Drosophila melanogaster: one gene and its partner. The protein of the gene in region 1 interacts with the protein of each later gene in a pairwise test. Each region holds a gene or a part of one and is shown on either strand. Other genes may lie near its edges.

Region 1 (4,928 bases):
CGTTCACGCGGCAATACCTTCAGAATCTTGTCCAGCTCCACCTCAAAATCCATGTTAAGAATGCGATCCGCCTCGTCCATGACCAAGTATTTAATAGCCTTAAGGTTAAAACCTTTCATGTTTTCTAGATGATCAACCAAGCGACCCGGTGTGGCAATTATAATATGCGGCTTCTTGGCCAGTTGAAGACCCTGGGCTACCATGTCCATGCCGCCGACTACCACGCAACACTTTATGCCAATCCCGCTACCTGAAAAAAACAGAGCTAGCATAAGTTTGGCAGAAGGAAATTCAAGAATACGATAAATGGGAAGGTTTTTTTACTCAGAGGTAGTGACGAATAAGAAAATTATAATTTCATATTTTCGTTGATACACAAAATCAAAACAGGTTTAACATCACTGCGAATTAAAAGCACATAAACTATGCGAAAACTCACCAAGGGCTTCAAACTGCTCGCCAATTTGAAATGCCAGTTCCCTCGTGGGGGTTAGCACGAGGGCAAAATACCGCTGCGGATTCTCGAGAAGGGCGTGTAAAATTGGCAGAGCGAAGGCGCCCGTCTTGCCGGAACCGGTCTCCGCTAGGCCAATTACATCCTTGCCCTGTAAGGCGACCGGAATGGCCTCACGTTGGATCTTCGAAGGCGCCTTCCACTTCAATTCGTCACATGCTTGACACAAAGCCTCATTGAGACCCTTTGAAGAAATATGGCCATTCGATTAAATTTTAATTTAAATTAATAGTGGGGCTCATACGAGATCTTTCCAGGTTAGCTTCTGTTCCTCGGCTGCGTCGTCCTCGGAGCCTTTATCATCTTCACCACTTAGTGCCGCCTCGCTGTCCCCTTCCTTATGATTGTTATCTTCATCTTCCTGCTCCTCCTCGCTACCTAGATCCTCCTCTTCGTCACTCGTTTGTAGCTGCGTCTGTTCGTCCTCTGAAGTTTCCGACATTTTGTTACATGAGTTTCAGAAAAATTTCACGGTACGGACATTACCAATAGCAGCACGTGGTCGAAATAAAAGAATTAGAGGCGGTAAAATAGAAATAGAACTATTTGCGATATTATCGATATAGTTGCGTCTTTAAAACAGTGCAGATTCATGATAACTTTCGATAGCTAATGTGCGATATATCACATGCACACTTAATAAAATTTGTAACTCATTCATACTGAACCATGATCTTAATTACAGGACTTAGTTATAGTGCAAATAGTTTGTTTCGGAAATATATTCACATTTGTATAAAATCGTAATTTGTTAGAAAATTGTTTAATATTGTGATTTTGTCATTTCAGTTAATATAACAATGTTTGAAAATAGATGGTGAATACAAATTTGGTATACATCTTTTTCCATCGCGCAATTTTAAATTAATGAAACGCCAATTAGAGGGTTGTCTGTCATGAACTGTCAACGAATAAAAACTGTTTGACATTTTCATACACAAATGTTATTGATGCTATTATTAACAATTCCGTTAAATCCGGAACAAAAGATTTCTGAATAATTGTCATTTTTAATTGTATAGAAATATTAAAGACAATAAAAGAAAAAAATAGTTGAAATAATTTAACTGACTTGTACTTAACATTTTCTTATAATTTTGGATATTCGAATTTTAATCTTCGATTTTGTTTATTGCGATCTGTTGATGTTTTGGTTAGGTATACATTTTCGTATTGTGTTAAATGCATCATACTGCCGACATAATTTTTATGAGGTTCACTGTAGAAGTAATATAATTAATATATTACTCATAGTCAGTAGTTGTTTCATTTATTTAAAAATCCGTTAGCGGCTAAAAACAAAAACGTTGCAGAATAGTCACATCCAACTTAAGGTCACCGTACTTTTCAACACTTGCTTGCTATAATCACAGAAACAAGCGACGGTCACCCTCCTTCGATTATTAGTCCGTACCTATCGGAGCCTATCGTTCGTCGATATAGGATCCTATCATATAAAATATTGATTAAAATTTACGCAAATACAAAATTTTCTTGTTCCGATGAAAAGTAAGCAACAAAATTACAGTTAAGAGGGATATATAAGAGAATAACGTGTGCGTTGGCGGGGACCATACCACATCATTACTTATCAGTTAATTCGTGGCTATGCGGTTGACAAGTGAAAACGCCTACTAAAGAGAAACTAAAACCTTCAGAAAGCGAGTAAAGGGGGCAATCTATCTTTACAACCTGTCCATTGAGATCGCTTAATATTTTTGGAAATGCTTTATAGGTAAACCATAAAAATCCATTGTGAAAATTTGTGGGGGTGGTGGATACTGAATAGGCGATAGACGTAGTAAAGAGAGCGGCGAAAAGAGTGCGGAGCGAAAGAGTTTGTATTTGATGTGTACTCAAAAGTAGCCGAAGAGAGCGCACTAATACACACGCATACGGAAAAAGGACGATAAAGAGGAAGAGCTTTCCGTGGAAACTAGGATAAAGTGTTTGCCCAAAATGAACTCGGCGGTGGATGCGTGGGCTGTGACCCCGAGGGAGCGTTTGAAGTACCAGGAACAGTTTAGGGCACTCCAGCCGCAGGCAGGATTCGTTACCGGCGCCCAGGCCAAAGGGTTCTTCCTGCAGTCCCAGCTGCCGCCCCTGATCCTGGGCCAAATATGGTATGTATATTACGCCCCCATGAATCATCCACCGATAAGAGTGTTAATTCTTACTCATTTTCTTATCTCCAGGGCTCTGGCGGACACTGATTCCGACGGCAAGATGAACATCAATGAGTTCAGCATAGCCTGCAAGCTTATCAACCTCAAGTTGCGCGGCATGGACGTTCCCAAGGTTCTTCCTCCCAGCCTGCTGTCGTCTCTTACCGGCGATGTCCCCTCGATGACGCCACGTGGCTCCACAAGCTCCTTGAGCCCTTTGGATCCACTCAAGGGAATAGTTCCGGCAGTAGCTCCAGTTGTTCCCGTTGTGGCTCCACCGGTGGCTGTGGCTACTGTCATTTCACCGCCTGGAGTCTCAGTGCCGTCTGGCCCCACACCCCCCACCAGCAATCCACCTAGTCGCCACACGTCTATCTCAGAGCGAGCGCCATCGATCGAGTCTGTGTAAGCATCACTTAGAATCGAATTAATGATTTAATATTATTAATGTAGCAAAGAAGAGATAATTTAATTAATTAAATTTCAAATATTCTTAGTTATTGAAATATTAGCAAAAACATATATATAATATCGTATCTGTTCTTAACTCCTCAATCAACTTCTATCCTTTTAGCAACCAAGGAGAATGGGCCGTTCAAGCTGCCCAAAAGCGTAAATACACGCAGGTGTTCAATGCTAATGATCGCACCCGATCTGGTTACTTAACTGGATCCCAGGCACGCGGCGTTCTCGTACAGAGCAAGTTACCCCAGGTCACGCTGGCCCAAATCTGGACGCTGTCCGACATCGACGGCGATGGACGGCTGAACTGCGACGAGTTTATTCTTGCCATGTTCCTATGCGAGAAGGCCATGGCTGGTGAGAAAATTCCGGTTACCTTGCCCCAGGAATGGGTACCGCCCAACTTGCGCAAAATAAAATCGCGACCGGGATCGGTCTCAGGGGTGGTATCCCGTCCTGGCTCACAGCCGGCCTCCCGACACGCATCTGTTTCATCCCAAAGCGGAGTGGGAGTCGTGGATGCTGACCCAACAGCCGGACTACCTGGACAAAGTAAGTGCTTAATTAACTCCGTTGCCAAACATGTGAATATATTCCATATATTAACACTTGTGATTTCGCGTTCACCAGCTTCCTTCGAAGACAAGCGAAAGGAGAATTATGTTAAGGGTCAAGCAGAGCTGGATCGTAGGCGCAAAATTATGGAGGACCAGCAGCGCAAGGAGCGGGAAGAGAGAGAGCGAAAGGAGCGTGAAGAGGCTGATAAGCGTGAAAAGGCTCGTTTGGAGGCCGAGCGTAAGCAGCAGGAGGAACTAGAGCGACAGCTCCAACGCCAGCGAGAGATTGAGATGGAGAAGGAGGAGCAGCGCAAGAGGGAACTGGAGGCTAAGGAGGCGGCCAGAAAGTAAGGACTTTTATCTTGCTTTGAGCGACAAAACAATGTATACAATTTCTATTGTATCAGGGAGCTTGAGAAGCAGCGCCAGCAGGAATGGGAGCAGGCTAGAATTGCCGAAATGAACGCACAGAAGGAGAGGGAACAAGAACGTGTTCTAAAGCAGAAGGCACACAACACCCAGCTTAATGTGGAGCTCAGCACACTGAATGAAAAAGTAATGTTCTTAAAGTACAACTAATCTATATGGCTGGCCTATCTAACTAACTCGGCTTAATTACAGATCAAGGAGCTTTCGCAGAGGATTTGCGACACTCGTGCCGGCGTGACAAACGTAAAGACCGTTATCGACGGAATGCGCACCCAGCGCGACACTTCCATGTCCGAAATGTCGCAGCTGAAAGCGCGGATTAAGGAACAGAACGCTAAACTGCTTCAGCTCACCCAAGAGAGGGCCAAGTGGGAGGCCAAGAGCAAGGCCAGCGGGGCTGCCTTGGGAGGGGAGAATGCGCAGCAGGAGCAACTGAATGCCGCATTCGCCCACAAGCAGGTGAGCTTTGGCATATACGTAAAGTTTTAGTATTCAACGGATTCTCTAAAATACTATTTACCTTTTTCAACAGTTAATTATTAACCAAATAAAGGATAAAGTCGAGAATATCAGTAAAGAGATTGAGTCAAAGAAGGAGGACATCAACACTAATGATGTACAGATGTCTGAGCTCAAGGCCGAGCTCTCCGCTCTAATCACAAAGTGCGAGGATCTGTACAAGGAATACGATGTGCAGCGCACCTCGGTGCTGGAATTGAAGTACAATCGAAAGAACGAAACTAGTGTATCGTCGGCCTGGGACACAGGCTCTTCCAGTGCTTGGGAGGAGACGGGTACGAC
Region 2 (5,142 bases), on another chromosome or scaffold:
AACTCGGGAGCTTAACGAGCGTTTAAAGCTTGCTTAGAGTACAATCTTTAGTTTGCTTAGTTTGGAAATTGTTTCTACGACTTCTTCTTCTTCATAATCTTCATGAATAAAACCATACCTGTAAATTGAAAGGGTAATAAACTCATTAGTATAATTAAGCAGCAACAATCGAACTGCAATAAATCGAACCAATTAAGAAATGTAATTTCAAACTGAGTCACGGCAAACTTGTTTATTTGGCTTAAGTGAAGTGACTCGCAGTGTTTTCGTATTCAGTTTAAATACAATAATAATAGCAATGGAATCTAATATCTATTTATCTGTTTTCGTTCTTATAATGAATATTTATAATATTGTGATTAACATATTCAGGAAACTTGGTTTATAAACGTGTTTAAATGTGTGTTGTTGAGTTGGATAACTTAAGGTATATTTGTTAAGTAAATGAATTGGGATTTTCCAAGAGGGGTTCTTTTTTGCAGCTTGAACAAAACTTCCACAAAATACAATGACTCACCTATAAAAGTGGCAATTACGAAGGCAATCATCAGCCACAGCCAGCACTTGTAGGCTTTTTTCGAATGTTGCTCCAGTTTCTCAGCCTCTTTTCCTAGCGAATTGATATTGCGATCCGCCATTCCGGCGGAACGCGACACAACCTCCGTGTCTCTTCGGATAATCCTGTTGGCGGTCTCCGTCTGTTCCTTTAAGTTCCGAGTCAGCGAGAGCATGTGCTCGGTGATCTTCTCCTGGGCATTCGTATAATACTTGGCAGCCTGGTTCATGTTTTCACCAGAAGTTTCCTGAACGTTTGCGCTTCCAGAACTGGAGGAGGATTCATCTGCTCCTCGACGTCTTCGCAGGGCATCGGAATCTAAAATAAATGTTTTTTAAGTTATGAACTATTACATTTTTGAATTTAAGAAATTTTAAAATATGTACAAAACTGTTTGTTAATTCTTTATTACCCTGGAGCAGTTCCTTTCGCAGTTCGTTGTGATATTTGCTGTTTTGCAGCTGCCTTATTTCTTTCAGTGCATTTTCCCCAGTTTCGCTGACGGCTGAGGATTGTGAAGGAGTCTTTGTTGTGGAACCGGGAACGTCTGCATATCCGGTGGATATTTTAAGGGCCTGTAGGCGCTCCAAGTAGCCCGGGATACGTTTGACACTCTGCGGATCGCCCATCGCCTCCAGCTCGGCAAGCATTGTGTCCAGGGACTTAATGAACTTCTGCAGCCTCCAGAAGTTCTGTTCGCTTTTGGCCAGTTCCTCGCAGTTGGCCAGCAGGGTGCGAATATTTACATTTAGCTTCGTGGCCATTTTCAAGTTGAAAACATGAAAACAACAAAGTACAAATTCCTAAATTAAAATACCAGGTCGAAACCTATTTGTTGTCAGCAGCTGGTCCTATTAGCGATAGAAACTTATCGATAGGTTGTCGTGAGTAGTGATGAAAAATTATTGAGGATGTGTATGTAAAATGTAAGAATGTAAAAATGTATAAAGTAAAAAAAACATAACAAACAAATAATCTTCTAATCCTGTTAAAATTTAATTTTTAAAAATTTTTGAAAAAAAACATCAAGTTCCCAATATGCCATATTTATAAGCTTATGTCTACTTTCTCAAGATAACGTAATGCATTTATATTATTGCATGCATACTTCTGGGCGCGACTCGAAAATCTTATCAAACCTCTTGGCCAATATCTGAAGTTATCAATTAAACCGTTTTTGATAGCCACAGCATATGAGTAGTTTCACGCAAACGCACATTTTTGTTTTAGCTGTTGTCGTACGCCAGGTGTCAAGATCAAATGGCATACCATTCAAAGGTTGAATTTTTATAGTAGTTTTTTTTTCTTCATTTTCCTTAAGTGCCGTTACACGCAAGTGAGGTGTTATCAAACAGCTGACGGGGCAAAAACAATAAAACTCACCCTCTTTGTTAACGGTACTAGAGGCCATGAATGAAACACGACTTCGTTCTCTCTCGACTTTCTCTCACCGCTCTCTTTGGCGGTCTCTTCTTGCGCAGCAGCACCAGCAGTTAACGGTGCATGTTGAAAAGTTCTCACACAAACGTCGTGAAAATCGAAATCGATAAGTAAGCAACGGATTTTAGCTGCCCAGAAAAAGACCACAAATTTCAGTGAAAACCCAGCGATAAGAATCCCAAAAAGTACTAATCCAGCTGAAAAACAACCATCTTAACCGGCCATGTCCAAAAAAAGTGTTAGCCAAGTGTTTTGAATAACGTAGTTGGTGTAAATGCTTAAAAAAAATAAGCTAGTCCGGGGCCAGAGAAATCGATACGATACCCCCAAAAAAAGGGGGGCTGCTGCGTGGGCTGCCCGAGTGAAAATTTCCAGCTAAAAATAGTACTAGATTTGAGCTTGAAGAAAACCCTTGATTTCCTTTGCGTTTCGATGTCAGTTATCATTGCATTTCAGTTACATAAGTTTTGAGACCCGTTGCTGCGTAGCGAACCTATTAACGGCTTAAGGACCACACAACCACCCACATGTACCACCAACACCACCCATTTACACAGCCAAAAATAATCGGAAAATATATATATATAATAAATATCAGTAGGGCTACATTTTATCTAATCTTTAATTTGATAATGTTAGATTCTTTGATATAAGTCATGGCGTTAAAAATAAATCTCCCCTTTTAAGCCACTGAAATATAAATTTTTTTATATTAAAAAAATAAGATGGGATCTTAAATATCGTATCGTATTTTAATACCCGTATATCATATCCTCTCATAAAGCAATCATACTATTTACAGTTGCTAGAGGTAATGTAACACCATTAAGTCGGAGCTAAAATAGAAAAAAAAAGCCAATTGTAGAGTGACCCGATTGTCGTAGAAAAAGCCCCATGATGCAGCCGCCGCCGCGTAAGGTAAATCATAAATAAATCGAATTGATAAAGATAGTTCCACAATAATCATTCATCGTATACCTCGTAATCCTGCAGGGAAACTATGTGAAATTCCTCAAGAATTTGCACACGGAGCAGGTGGCCAAGCTGCAGCTGAAGAATCAGCATGAATGCGACCTCCTGGAGGACATCCGGCAGTTCACCATCAAGCGTTCCGCTGTCGAGAAGTCATACAGTGAGTCGCTGCTGAAGATCTCATCGCAGTATCTCAACAAGAAGATACCCAATATACCAGATATTAAGATGGAGGGCATGGAGGAACGCTGGTGGGTATTGCTTTCCAGCTAACTAGTAACGTTCTTTCGAGAACCTTCAGTCAATTTGAATTACCCACCTACTTATACGTAATCTCATAGGAACATGTGGAGCGTTTGGCGCACTGTGCTCGAGGAGAATGAGAAACTGGCTCGTGCTCGATTGGCCGCCATAGAGGTGTTTCAACAGCAAATCGCGGATGAGGCCAAGGTTCTGCGGGACTATAAGTTGGCCATAGCTAAGCGTTCGCTAGCCGGAATTGTCAATGTGCAGAAGGAACTCCATCTGAGCGTGGGCGATGTGGATAAGACCAAGAAATCATACTTTGACGAAGAGCATTGTGCTCACGATGTTCGGGACAAGGCCCGCGATATCGAGGAGAAGCTTAAGAAGAAGAAGGGCTCCTTCTTTCAATCAATCACTTCGCTGCAGAAGAACAGCGCCCGGGTCACATCTCGCAAGGAGCTGCTGGAGGAGAAGTCATCTGGCGCCCGGAATGACTACGTACTCAGCTTGGCGGCGGCCAATGCGCATCAGAATCGCTACTTCACCGTCGATCTGCAGACAACGATGACCACCATGGAGAACTATGTTTTCGAGCGGGTTGCCGAGTACCTGATGTTAATGGGGTAAGTGTATAATGGCATTGCTCATAAATTATAAACCATCCAGAAGTGCAAAATCGGTAAATCAATTATAAATTTTACAAGTTCAAAGCCATTTTCTAATCAATGTTTGCTCAAGTCGTCAATTACATTCTGATAATTTTTATGGCGCTACCTGATATGGCTCATAAAGTTATTAAATCATTTTATTTAATCTTATGACTCAATATGTACATATGTACATAACAGTGCTGTCTTAAGAAATCTTTATCTTAATGTTGCCTAACCATTAAAACACATCTTTTCCAGACGCACAGAGCTGTTGACTTGCTCGGCTACGCAGAATAGCTTCGGAAAGATCCGTGACCAGGCGCAGCAGTTGACGCGGGAGTACAACCTGCAGTGCTGCTACCTATTCTATCCGGTGCTGAAGCAGCACATCCAATATGACTTCGAGGCGTGCGACAATGATCCGGTGCGCAAGGTGACCGCGGAGCATGAGTCCGCCGCCGAGACGCTAACCAAGGAGGCCAAGAATCTGGCCGGAAGAGTGGTCAAGGAGAATGCCTCGATCAGGGAGAATGCCAAGAAGTTGGCCTTGTGCCAGTCGCTGCGAGACTCTGGCCAGCGCACGGATCCCAACGATCCAAATGGACCGGATCTGGACACCAAGATCGAGGAGTTCCGTGATCAAATCCGTCGATCCGAGACGGAAAAGACAAAAGCGGAGGCATGTCTGCAGTGCCTGCGCGATGGCGGCATTAACGTGGACGAGTGGGTGCAGGAGGCCGAGAATATGGGTGTACAGGAGCTGACGCGTTCGGCCAGTTCCATTTCGATGCGCACCGACGCCTCTGGCCAGGGCGAGAATCCCAGTTCCGATTCATTCTACGACAGCGACAAGGAGGAGACTCAGGCAGCTGCCCAAACGAAGCCCAAGCAGGAGCAACAGCTATCCAGGGATCGTACCTTCAGCGATAGTGAGGATGAGCCCGAAGTGCGTCCATCGGCAGCGGCAGCTTCTTCTGCAGCTGCTGCCTCGTCATCCATGATGGCCAGTAGCGCTGGTGGCTGGGATGATCCCACTGAGGTCAACTGGGGAGCTGGCGAGGAGGAGGACGACAAGGACGAACCGATTGTTCCAGAACCCAAGGAGGCGATCTTCAAGTGCACTGCACTCTACAGCTATACGGTATGTGAGCTTTAAAGAACTATATACTTTTTCTTGCCACTAATTTTTCACTTTTTCCACAGGCCCAGAATCCCGACGAGCTCACCATCGTCGAAAATGAACAGCTCGAGGTGGTTGGCGAAGGCGACGGCGATGGG

Evidence for each region.
Region 2: the proteins of Dap160 (region 1) and nwk interact in a two-hybrid assay, tested with the Drosophila melanogaster proteins (one study listed by BioGRID).

Annotation. Positions count from the first base shown.
Region 1 is NT_033779.5:21,139,334-21,144,261, reverse strand, and holds the start of Dap160 (dynamin associated protein 160), read left to right. Parts: upstream 1-1,914; 5' UTR 1,915-2,023; intron 2,024-2,249; 5' UTR 2,250-2,473; coding exon 2,474-2,637; intron 2,638-2,709; coding exon 2,710-3,084; intron 3,085-3,253; coding exon 3,254-3,693; intron 3,694-3,771; coding exon of another isoform or gene 3,772-3,783; coding exon 3,784-4,045; intron 4,046-4,105; coding exon 4,106-4,253; intron 4,254-4,319; coding exon 4,320-4,586; intron 4,587-4,659; coding exon 4,660-4,928. Other genes in the region: pths (porthos), read right to left, coding at 1-250, 440-698, 759-956.
Region 2 is NT_037436.4:9,135,784-9,140,925, forward strand, and holds the start of nwk (nervous wreck), read left to right. Parts: upstream 1-2,076; 5' UTR 2,077-2,106; exon of another isoform or gene 2,107-2,181; intron 2,182-2,798; 5' UTR 2,799-2,893; coding exon 2,894-2,914; intron 2,915-2,989; coding exon 2,990-3,219; intron 3,220-3,309; coding exon 3,310-3,837; intron 3,838-4,122; coding exon 4,123-5,005; intron 5,006-5,067; coding exon 5,068-5,142. Other genes in the region: Use1 (unconventional SNARE in the ER 1), read right to left, coding at 75-118, 518-874, 969-1,320. UniProt on the Drosophila melanogaster protein: Adapter protein that provides a link between vesicular membrane traffic and the actin assembly machinery. Acts together with Cdc42 to stimulate actin nucleation mediated by WASp and the ARP2/3 complex.